3 linked regions of the Rhinolophus ferrumequinum genome follow. The protein of the gene in region 2 interacts with the protein of the main gene of each other region in a pairwise test. Links are inferred from orthologs where the notes say so. Each region holds a gene or a part of one and is shown on either strand. Other genes may lie near its edges. The genes, in order: PTPN9, CREB3 and FMO3.

Region 1 (3,746 bases), on a different chromosome or scaffold from region 2:
AAGGAACTGTGCTGCTTGGAACTATGCTGCTTTTGTGTTTCAACATTTTGAAATGCCTGCAGAGAACTTGGCATTATATAGGAAAAGGTATGGTTATAAAAAACCACATTAACTTCCTGATCTTAATATACAAATATTTTGTTCCCATCCAGTCCTTGTTAATGCCCAACACACCCATTCAATGTAATAGATTTTTACTAAACACACTTGCATATTTACACTATATACAGGGTGAAGACAACATTAGCAATACTATCAATGCTTCAATATTTGCTCTCCTTGGTGTTTTTTTTTTCATTTGCAACCTAATGCCATTTTCATAGTGGAACACTAATGCCATTAAGTCTTAAGAAACACAGAAATTTTAAATCTGACTAACTCCAGAAAAAGAAGTGAGAGTGTTGCCCCTTTAAAAATCAACCTAACACATTACACCCTAGTACTAAAGCATTTCTCTAATTCTGGCAGGATGGACTCCTTGGCCACCTGCTTGCATTAGGCCCTCACTAGCATTTTATTAACACCCAACTGCAGTTACCAGAATGCTTGTACAGAGGAGCAGAATTCTTTTCCCCCAGGCTGATTTTATCTCAAAACATCAAAAGGTAAGACTGCGGTCTGAGGCCAAATATGAAAACATGTCATCTCCACAAATGAGGAGAAAAGTCAAGGGCTTTTTAACAATCACGTCTTAAAGAAACCCATTAACCAATATTAGTTTGTAAAACCAGACTGTCTCCACACTAGAGACTGTGCTACCAAATGTGGTTCTTGGGAACAAGGGCTGGAGAGGTCGAAATGGGTGACCAGCACGGTTCATCTTTTCTTATTTCAGATTTTTATTAAAACATGGAATCAGATTATGGCTCGTTTTGAAAACAGCTAAGGCCGGATATGGGCAGTGCCAAAGAGACAGCGAAAAGCCTTTACGGTTCCCATCTCAGCCGCAGGCTTTCCTATCTTTCTCAGAAGGAGTGGTCCACGTCTCCCCCGCAGGAATGTGCGAGAGTGAAAGTTGCAAGGGCCCCGATTTTTCCCTTACCCAAGCCCCCAAAATGACACCGCAAACCACTTCCTTCTGGAACTGAAGGTCATTAAGAGTTAAGGCACAATGGAGCTCAATGTAGACTTCGGAAAGATGTAGACAGTGGGGTGAGATGGGGGTAGGGAAGTGTGAGTGGGGGATGTGCCCAGACCAAGAGAGAGGAATGGGGCAGTCAAGGCCAGGGGCTTGGGGAGCGTGAGAAGGCCTGGATCTTTCAGAATGTGTCCAAAGAGGCCTGCCACGGCCCTGGGATAAGCCCGAGGGGCTCGTCTGAAAATCTAGGGCATCTACTACCCAGTGCCTACCATGACTGTCCTCGGGAGGGGCGGTGGTCCCCGCAGAAGCCCATCCCCCAAAGTGAGCTTTTCTTGCCCTTAGAAAAAGAAAAAAGAAACAAAACCCGCACGGAAAGCAGCAAAATATGTATAGTGTGCAAAGACCGAAGGAAGGAGCTGTTCTGCAAACGTCGGGGGCGGGGGCGTTTGTGGATAGAAAGGAAGGCCCCCAGGTCCAGGAACTTTAATCACCTCCGGAGTGGGGGGAGGGGCGATGCGAGGCCTGAGCCTCCGGGGCCGAAGGGGACAGAGGAGGTCCGGAGCAGAAGCGGCGTCCGGTGGCGCCCCGGTTTCAGGGGATGACGGCCAGAGGCGCGGCCGCCAGGGGGAGGCCACCGCGGGCCCCAGGCGCCGAGAGCGCGCGGCGGGCAGGGACCCACGTAGGCCCCAGGGGTCCGACACGCCCACCGCCGCGGCCCCGCTTACCTGCTCCTCCTCCGGGGTCAGCTGCGGCGCCATGTCGGCCTGGGGTGCGGTCGCGGGCTCCATCCCGCCGCCGCCGCCCGCGAACAGGACCCGCCCGGAGCGCCGGGGCCCCGCTGTGGCCTTGGCTCCCTCGTGCCCGCGCTCAGCAGCCCGGGGCCGGCTCGCGCATGGTGGGCCGGCGGGCCCGCGCCCGCGGCGCCCACGAACGCCGCCGCTGGGTCCTCACGAGAAGGCGCTCTGAGCTGTCGCTGTCTTCTGGGCGGAAATCCTTGTTTATTTTCTCTGCTCCTTTCCTCACACTCCCCCTCCTCTCCCGGAAAAGAAAAAGTGCAGGCGGGGAGCTGAGGGAATCGGGAGGAAAAAAGGAAATATGAAATCAAGAACTTTCCAGGCCCAGAGCGAAGGCTGCCGGCCTCCTCGGCGGCGCTCCCGCTCCTCCGGCTGTGGGCCCGGCGACCCGCGCGGCCGCCTCTCAGCGCCGTTCCTCAAAAGCCTCCGAGCCAGAAGGAGGGAGAGGGAGGGGACAGGGCCGCGCACCCCCCTCCCGGCTCACGGCCAACCCTGCAGCCGCCCGAGCCCCCCGCGGCTCCATTGAGAAACTGAGCGTCTCATTCACAAATGGGCGGGCGGCGAGCAGGGCCGCTGAGCGCGGACGCAGTCCGGGAGGGGGCGACAGAGAGGAGCCCGGGGGCGGTGGGTGGGAAGAGGAGCTCGAGGAAGGGGAAGCGAAGAGGTGGGGGGAGAGGAGTTCGGAGGGGGTAGGAGCTCGAGCAGGGGGAGGCCGAGGAGAGGCGGGATGGGGGAGAGGAGCTCGAGGAGGGGGAAGCGAGGCGGTGGGGGGAGGAGTTCGGAGGGAGCGTAGGGGAGAGGAGCTGGAGGAGGGGGAAGCCTGGCGGTGGGGGGAGAGGAGTTAGGAGGGGGGAGGAGCTCGAGCAGGGAGAGGCCGAGGAGAGGCGGGATGGGGGAAAGGAGCTCGAGGAGGCAAAGCTGAGGAAGTTCGAGGAGTGGGGGGGGGGGGCAGGCGAGGGACTTTGACGACTCGGGACTGTGGGGAGCGAGAAAAAGGTGAGTGTGAGGTTTACAAGGAAGGTTAAGTTCCACGGAGGAGGAAGAGAATGCAGCTGCCGACGGGCACCTCGGGGTTGCTGTCCGCTCCCACCTGCAAGTGAGGAACCCACAGTCCTCATCTATTTCCCTGTCACTTGCTGACTGAAAGCGCCTGGAAAGGTTGCCTGGGAGGTCCAGGACGCTCATCTCGGCCCTACCGCTCGCTCGTTCTTGCTGTATCCTGTCATTTATTGCCAATATAGGTAATTTTAGTCCCTCGGAAAAAAACAGCATCTGATTTAGAAACCTCATACAGAAATCACGCAGCTTTTGCAAGCCTTTGATTTTCACTCAGGCGCGTAGCAAAAACCTTGGGGCTCTTACAGAGTAGTCTTGGAGTCAGTTCGGGAGTCACAAGGAAGGCAGGACTGGGTCTGCTATGTTTTTACATCAGTCCAGACCAAAAATATTCTTAAAGGGACCCAACGAACAAGCAAGTGCCACAGCTAGTCAGTCCCAAGGCCTGAAAGCCTGGAGAAATTGAGACCCAAGGGAGGGGTCTTCAGACAACTTGAAGATACTCTCCCAGGACTTTCGAAGCCACCTCTGACCTCACCTCATTTCTGCATCATTGCAACAGGAACTTCAGGGTGCCCTTGGTTCGAGAAGAAAATCCTGGTACTCAGGTAGGTTATTTTATCCTTTACACCAGGCTGACTGGGTTGAGTTCATAACCTCCCAGAGCAGTTCCAGTTTCAGGATTGCGACCAGACGCTTCTCTGGAAGACCGGCTATTTAACAAGTGCATTTACATGCCAGTCACTGGGCTATGTACTGGGGTTACCACGATGAACCAAACAATGGTTTCATCCATATGTTATGATATGGAATGA
Region 2 (3,746 bases):
CATCCACCTACTGCCAATGTTGTAACTTTTACCTGCTTGAAGTCACTACCCTAACCTCAACCACCACCTCTAAAACTGCCCCTAATTTCTAATATTAACCTTGACCCTAATTTGTTTCCTGTTTCCCAATACCGGTTTTGACATTCATCCCTTCCTGGGAAGATACCTGTATCCAATCCCTGATCCCTAATATTGATAGAATTTTTACCTTTAGCACTAGATCCTCTGACCTTAACCGTAAATGTTGACTCCTAAACCTATAGCTCATTTGTCAGTTGATTCCTGACCCATCCCTTCACTGTTTGACCCTAATACGCCACGGTTCTCTAATCCCTGAAACTGAACTTCTAACCTAATTCCTGTTGTTGACCCTGAACTCTAATTTTGACTTACTCTGGCCATCCTAGAAAACAAAATAATGACCTTAATCCAAACTTTATCTATATAAAAGGGACCTGGCTCAGGCTAATAACTATAAATTTCAACCCTGGCTCTATAACTCCTAAAGCTAACCTGATTCCTAAATCTAATTTCACCTAATCCCAAACTCACCCAACGCTTTCCTAGCAGCTAACCTCAAAAGCCGATCCCCACCCTGCACCTCACTACCACCCTACTTCTCATCCTCCCCAAAACCTATCCCAGACAGAAGACTGCTCCCAGGAAGGGCCTGGCTCCCGCAAAACGGCCTACCTAACTCCGAGCCCAACCCCGGATGCACTGGACGCTGACCCCTCCAACAAGACCCGAAACAGGAGACGCAGGAGAGTTAGGGGCCCCGCCTGCCCACCCGCCTCCCCGGCCTGGCCTCGAGGCCCCACCTTGAGACTCCCCCTTGGCCCAGTCCAGCCTACCTGAGCTGCCCGGCTTGTGCCCCGCCCGCTGGCCCGCTAGCCCGTCTGTTCTCCCGATGGCTCTCGGGCTCCGGCCTCGCCCTCCCTTCGGCACTCTCGGCCACTTCCGTCCCTGGAACGTCCCCCACCCGCGGGCGGCGCCCTGGGCCCGCGCTCTATGGTTGCGGGGGACGGCAGGAAGCTGCTCTGGCCCCAGCTCTCGATGCTCGGGAGCGCGCTGAAGACCGTCTGGCCCTCCCCCGCAGGAAGCAAGGGTGCGGCGCAGTCCCGGGGAAACGGCCGAACTGCACCGCAGTTCCTTTGGAGTCTGATCCTTCCTTATTCTAGCTTGGGGCAAAGGCGGCGCCGGCTCCCCAGAATGCCCGCCCTCAGGGTGTGAGGAAGCAGCAGGGACCTCCCCTGTATTTGCATAGCTCCCGGGACGTGGCGCGGCACCTAAGCCACTTCCGCGTTTAGAGAGAACTTTAAGTCCCGGGATGCTTTGGGGTAGGCGTGTCACTTCCGTTGTGTTGGAAGCTGCGGAGAACCGAGTCTCGGTGGCGGGTCTTGTTTGAGAGCTACGACTAGTAGCTACGGGGAAAGCCGGCCGAATAGGGACTAGCGGATAGGTGGGGCTGACTCACAATCGGTGAGGGTCGTGCATGGGGCCGGGTGGAAGGGTGAACTCCTGCGCTTGTGCCCATTCTTTCTGTAGGTGGCCCATATGGATTTGGCGTTGGACCCGGGTGACCAGGACCTGTTGGCCTTACTACTAGAGGAAAATGGAGATTTGGGGGTGGCGTCCGATGCGTCCTTCGAGGCTCCACTGGACTGGGAGTTGCCGATTTCCGAGGTGGGCGGGGGCTCTGAGCCCGGGAGGTGGGGGGCGGGGTGTTCTTGAGGATGGTGGTAGGTCAAGGCCTGTTAATTTGAATCCTGTTCAGGCACTGAGCGATTGGGATGTAGAGGATTTCCTGAGCTGCCTGACGAGTTTCCCAGCATCGTCGAACGTTCTCAACAGCTCGAATCCCTGTCTGGTCCATCATGACCACACCTATTCTCTCCCACAGGAACATGTTTCTATAGATCTAGGTGAGTCTGAAATAAGTGAATTTTGAGGGGAGGAAGGGACTCATGAACCTGGCTATTCACTTTCCCTTTTGCAGATAGTGGGAGTTCTGGAAAAGAGGAGGCCCAGATGACACCCCTACATGTGGAGGAGCCCGCAGAACAGGTACTTTGTTTACTGGAGGATTATTCCCACATTGCACATTATTCCCACATTGCAGACAGGATTCCTCATTCCTCTCTGACATGCTCCCTTGTGACTCTGCCTCCCACCTTTCTGTAACCCCAGGAGATTGTTAGGCTGATACTGACAGATGAGGAAAAGAGGCTATTGGAGCAGGAGGGGCTTACTCTGCCAGAGACATTTCCTCTCACTAAGGTAAGACTCCCAGTGGTGGATCAAAGACTGGAGGGGTGAGGATTGAGTCCCAAGTAGTCCAATTCTGTTAATTTTTCATCAGTAACTTACTAAAGGACGAAAGTGAGAAATTAAGCAAATTTGCTGCTAATAGGAAGCCGGGGGATGTAGTTATATACTGGATGCAGGGGCAGATCCTGGTTTTGTGGGGCTTACACAAATTTTGGTATTCTTTGTAGGAAAGAATTCAAAATTACCAGTGCATTAGTTAGTATAGGGACTTGGAAAGGACTGTGCAAGCAAGGGGCTCTGACATTTAGATTTCACTAGGTGGATTACCATATCTATCTAGCTGAAAGGTCGAATTAAGTTTTAGAGTTCAAGACTGGACTTAGTAGTATAACAAGAATAAACGTAAAATCTTGAGTTTTAAGTTTCAAGAAGCAATGGGTGGCAGTCTCGCAAGCATAATATTGTGATACTGTGATGAGATCAATGTTCATTGACAGAAAGGTTAAAAGAGTTTCTTAAAAGTACAAGATGAGTCAGCAGTGTGATATGGTCACTAAGAAAGTGAATGGGGTTTGGAGGCTGTATCAATAGAGGTATTTCCTCTAGAAGGGCAGTGACTATCTTGCTCTCCTTTATACTGGTCAGAGCATATCCTAGTGCCAAGTTTTGAGTCCAGATCTTTGACAGATAGTAAAAGGAGTAAAAGGACACAGTCCATCCTGAGGAGGTAAGATGATGAGTTAAATATTTTATCCCACCCCCCAAAAAAGTTGCCCAGATTTATCTTTGCTTGGAGGAAATGTTGAGTGTCTTAAAATAGCTGAAGACCATTTGTTCTGTATAGCTCCCGAGATTAGGTATGAGGTAAGTCCAATGGATAGAATTATCGAAGCAGATACTGGCTCAGGATAGGGAAGATTAATTTTAATTAATAAAATTGTTAAAAATAGTCTGGCTTATGAGGGTGTTAACACCTAGTCCTCAGAGGCATTTAGCCAGAAGCCAAGTGCCTACTGGTCAAGGAAGCTGTAGAAGGGATTCGTGCATTGGCAAGATTACTCAGTTGCCTTCCAACTCTTTGGTCCAGTGTTCTGTGATGATACCCCTTTTCCCTGTATTATCTCAGATGGAGGAACAAGTTCTGAAACGAGTGCGGAGGAAGATTCGCAATAAAAAGTCTGCTCAAGAGAGCCGCAGGAAGAAGAAGGTGTACCTGGGGAGTTTAGAGAGCAGGTATAAACAGGAGAGGGGCTCTGGGGTGGGTGGAACAGAAGTAGCTGGAAGTGATATGTTTTTGAAGGGAGGATACAGGCCATATCCCCACATCCCTGTTATTCCCCCAGGGTCTTGAAATACACAGCCCAGAATTTGGAGCTACAGAACAAAGTACAGCTCCTGGAAGAACAGAATCTGTAAGCAACTAACCTCAGTCTCTTCTCATCCCTCCCATTTAATGAGCTTTCACTCTTTTCCCT
Region 3 (3,746 bases), on a different chromosome or scaffold from region 2:
CGATTAAAAGCTTCAGAGGTCAGGAGGTCCTAGTAAAGTATAGGAAACTCAAAACATGCTATTCAGCCTACTAGTGTTTAAACCTAATTTGGTTTCATTGTACAGGAGAAACACACAGTGAATGGTTCAAAGTTATCAGATTTCTCTCCCGGAACACCTTCTGCCTAACAGGACTTGCCAGATGGAAGCTTATATAACACATTTGCCGAAATCCCTCTCTGATCACACATTGTACCAAGCAAGTTTTCTTCAAAGAGAAGGAAGGGGTGGGTGGGTGGAGGGGCCGAAGTTTTGACTATTTGCATGTGTTTACATCCTCACAGGATATAATCCCACTTCTATACAGTGACCTTACCGAAAGAGATAACCCCTCTTTTGAATAACCCAGAGTCTGACTTTGTACCTTATCGATATGTTACCTGTTGCTTCATTAGATAGGCTTTTTGGTCCGGCTGCACTGGTTAACTTACAGACCCCTGGAGAGTCCACATTCATAGCCTTTTCCGTGCTGTTTATGCATTGCTTGCTGGTCACCCCAACCTAGAAACCTCTCTCACATGGTCCTGGCATACTATCGGTGACTGCTTGTCTACAGGGCACCCTCCACACATTACAGTGGGGACGGCACTCCCCGCAGTTGTGTCACACGGTGCTCCTCTACTTTCCGTGTCTGAGGACGTCCTTCAACTCTCAGCTGAGTGCCATCCCTGCGGGAAGTCTCTCCTGACCTGCTAAGAATTCAGTGGTCCACCCTTTTCTAACTCACAAGGCTCGTGTTCATTAAGTTGACTGTCAACCAAGGGCTATCTTGTTATAAAGTACTGTGATCTCTTATTGGAAACTCTTAGGGCCAGGTATATTTTGGAATTTGTCGATCTGGGGAAATGTTTTTCCATAGCACTCCTAGTGAGATTTTGGGTAGCACCTTACAAGCAAATGTAATAAAATTTTTGCAGTGGAGCACGGAGTGGGCCAGAGGAAGGCTATACGTAGCCTTGTGGCTTCCACTCATGTTATCTGACCATATGACTTCAGGACAGGTTTTGCCATCCAATGGGCTTTGCCCCCTTTCCATCAAAGGACTGTAGACCTATAGGATGGTTTGCTTCACCAAAGGGAGTAGAACCCATGCATGTAGCGTGATTATGTCACATATTAGCCTAGTACCTAGTACACAACTTGGGCAAAATAGATGCTCAAGCAGCATTTAATTGCTGCTAATGAGATAACAGAGAACCATTTCATCGTTTAGGCTAAATGGCCACATCTCCCTGAGCAAATGTAAATAAAATTGAATTCGTAAACAACCACCACCACCACCACCACTCTCTTGATTATTCCCTAAGGAAAAGTAAAAATTACTGATCTTATGTCTTATGTAATGCTTTCAGGCTTATAGGCACCCCCAATTGTTTTGCGAAATGCTCTTGAGATAAATACAGATGTGTTCTGAGTTAGCACCAACATACTCTGTTAGAGCAACCTGTTGTAGGTTGGGCTATAACCGAGCCCAGGAGAGAATATAGTTGCAAGATGAATGATGTGGATGTAATGTCTTCAGACCAAACATGTATCATCTATAGCAATAATAATGGTTGGAAAATTCACGACAGAAAGGCTAGAAGTTTCCCCAAACCCAGCTTTGAAATTTAAAAATTGTGTTTATATTGAATATTTCCTGATGATATTAGTTCTACAACAATGAGCCTGAATGGCAGAGACAATCGTTTTTTCCTCTGGATTTGGAGCTCACAGAGTATATGACAACCACACACAATGCACACCATCATCATTTATAATAACTTACAATGTCTGCCCAATAGACATGAGTTCATTATAGAATCATAGCCCCTTAGAATTGGAAGGCACAGTAAAGGTAACTTCACTTCCAATCTCTGCATTTGACAAATGAGCATTTGAGGTCCAGAAAGGAAAAAGTGACTTGCCTAAAATCTATCTACTTAGAAAACCTGAGAATCGAGATTAGAACTTGGGACTTCTGACCCCAGTCAAGGTTTTTCTTTTTCTTTCCCCCCATGTTCCAGGGATTTAAGAGCAATAGACATAGAATCCCTATTTTGGCTAATTACTGACATTAGAGCCTGGAGATCTGTCAGGCTGGTGACATTATTTAATAAGCTGGAGATGTCCTTTTCAGGATAAGCCCTGATGGCGTGCGCAAATGGTTGTTTTGAAGGGTTGGACATTAGTGGGATGGGAGAGAGAAGATTTTACTTTCCAGATCTGGAAATTTTAGGACTTGCCTCTAAGTCTGAATTAGAAATGATCAGATTGCACTGGCTATAGAGCCCCTGTCCCTTCTGTTGGTGTCCCAGTGATGTGCCACTCACCGAAAATTTCCACAGGCCTCCAACATCATCGCCCCTTTCAAAGCAGGTGGGCTCCAGCCCCTCTTCCAGACAGCACCGGATGGCAGCCAAGCCACTGATCCCAGCTCCGACGATGGCCACTGTCTTCCCCATGGTCTCCTGTAGGAAGGTCTGGAGAGGTTCTTTAGAAGAGTGTCCCTGGACACTTAGGATTCTGCAATGGAGTTGCCGGCCTGGGCCTGGGCAGACCTGTCACACTATATATAGCCTCCAGGGCAGGCCTGGCCCCGCCCTCGGCCAGGCCCCTGGGAGCGGTGACCTGGCCTGGGGATGAGCGCTGTGCCCCTGGGAGTGCGCAGGGAGGCGCGGCGAGTGCGGGGTGGGGCGGCGGGGCTGTGAGCGGACGCTGGGGTCACGGAGACTCCTGTGTCCCGACCCGGCTTTCTGTCCCGGAGCCTGTGGGCCCCGCCGGGCTCTCCAATCACCTGTCTGGACTGTAACCGACATCGGACCCCTGCCGCCTGTCTTCCCCCAAAGGCTGGAACTGAGCCTGGGGAGAGGGAACCCTGAGGGACCGAAGCTCGGAGTCTCGCTCTCCGGGATGCTGTGGTGGCTGAGGGCGGAGGATGGAGAACACATCGGCCGGCGCTGCCCAGCGCCTTGCGGGGCTTGGGCCGCGCCGGCCTCCAGGGCGCTGAATGTCAGTCGCTTCCCAGAGCTGACGGTGAGAGCCCGCGCACCGGCGCCCGCAAATTCCCAAACGCTGGCAGCTCTCCTGTAGAGCTTCCCGGGTTTGAATTCGGCTGCCCCTGGGAGCCTCAGAGGTTTCTGAGCTGTAAACCTGAGTATTTACCCCGCAGGATGATTGTGAGAACTAGAAATCACAGGCACAGGCCTCATATGGACCTGGCACACAGTGGTAGACGGTAATTACTCAGACACTTGTTCAAGACAATAAGGCCGACATCATTCTGGGGTACGACCCTGTTTCCCTGGAAATGAGACCTACCCCGAAAATAAGCCCCAGTTAAGAGCATCAGCCAGACGGCCACGTTTAGTTTTGAGGATGTTCTAGAAGAAGATGATGTGACTGTCATCGAATAAAGGTAGATTGTTGTACATGAAAAAAATAAGACATCCCCTGAAAAGAAACTCTCATGGGGCAAAAATTAACAGAAGACCCGCTCTTATTTTCAGGGAAACACGGTCCCCCAGTGGGGTTTCGCGGTAGCAGAGAGAGATTGACTACAAGGGCGAGGGGAGACTTATCGCCAAGGAGTAGGATGGGGGTCGGTGGATAGAAAATTACTCAAAGGACACGCGCAGGTGACCAGTGCGTTCTGGCTAAGCCTGCTTGACAGCAGGAGCTGTGTTGAAGGCAGACCAGGGTGAAGAAGGAATTTGATCAGATATCAA

Evidence for each region.
Region 1: the proteins of CREB3 (region 2) and PTPN9 interact in a two-hybrid assay, tested with the Homo sapiens proteins (2 studies listed by BioGRID and IntAct). The two-hybrid records come from large-scale screens. The link is inferred for Rhinolophus ferrumequinum from reciprocal best matches to the Homo sapiens genes CREB3 and PTPN9.
Region 3: the proteins of CREB3 (region 2) and FMO3 interact in binary tests that used the Homo sapiens proteins (3 or more experiments, as listed by UniProt). The two-hybrid records come from large-scale screens. The link is inferred for Rhinolophus ferrumequinum from reciprocal best matches to the Homo sapiens genes CREB3 and FMO3.

Annotation. Positions count from the first base shown.
Region 1 is NC_046289.1:99,925,963-99,929,708, forward strand, and holds the start of PTPN9 (tyrosine-protein phosphatase non-receptor type 9), read right to left. Parts: upstream 2,467-3,746; 5' UTR 1,870-2,466; coding exon 1,807-1,869; intron 1-1,806. UniProt on the Homo sapiens protein: Protein-tyrosine phosphatase that could participate in the transfer of hydrophobic ligands or in functions of the Golgi apparatus.
Region 2 is NC_046295.1:51,914,553-51,918,298, forward strand, and holds the start of CREB3 (cyclic AMP-responsive element-binding protein 3), read left to right. Parts: upstream 1-1,343; 5' UTR 1,344-1,462; intron 1,463-1,548; 5' UTR 1,549-1,557; coding exon 1,558-1,686; intron 1,687-1,777; coding exon 1,778-1,925; intron 1,926-1,999; coding exon 2,000-2,067; intron 2,068-2,190; coding exon 2,191-2,280; intron 2,281-3,397; coding exon 3,398-3,504; intron 3,505-3,614; coding exon 3,615-3,683; intron 3,684-3,746. UniProt on the Homo sapiens protein: Endoplasmic reticulum (ER)-bound sequence-specific transcription factor that directly binds DNA and activates transcription. Plays a role in the unfolded protein response (UPR), promoting cell survival versus ER stress-induced apoptotic cell death.
Region 3 is NC_046305.1:7,196,754-7,200,499, reverse strand, and holds the start of FMO3 (flavin-containing monooxygenase 3), read right to left. Parts: upstream 2,553-3,746; 5' UTR 2,484-2,552; coding exon 2,352-2,483; intron 1-2,351. UniProt on the Homo sapiens protein: Essential hepatic enzyme that catalyzes the oxygenation of a wide variety of nitrogen- and sulfur-containing compounds including drugs as well as dietary compounds.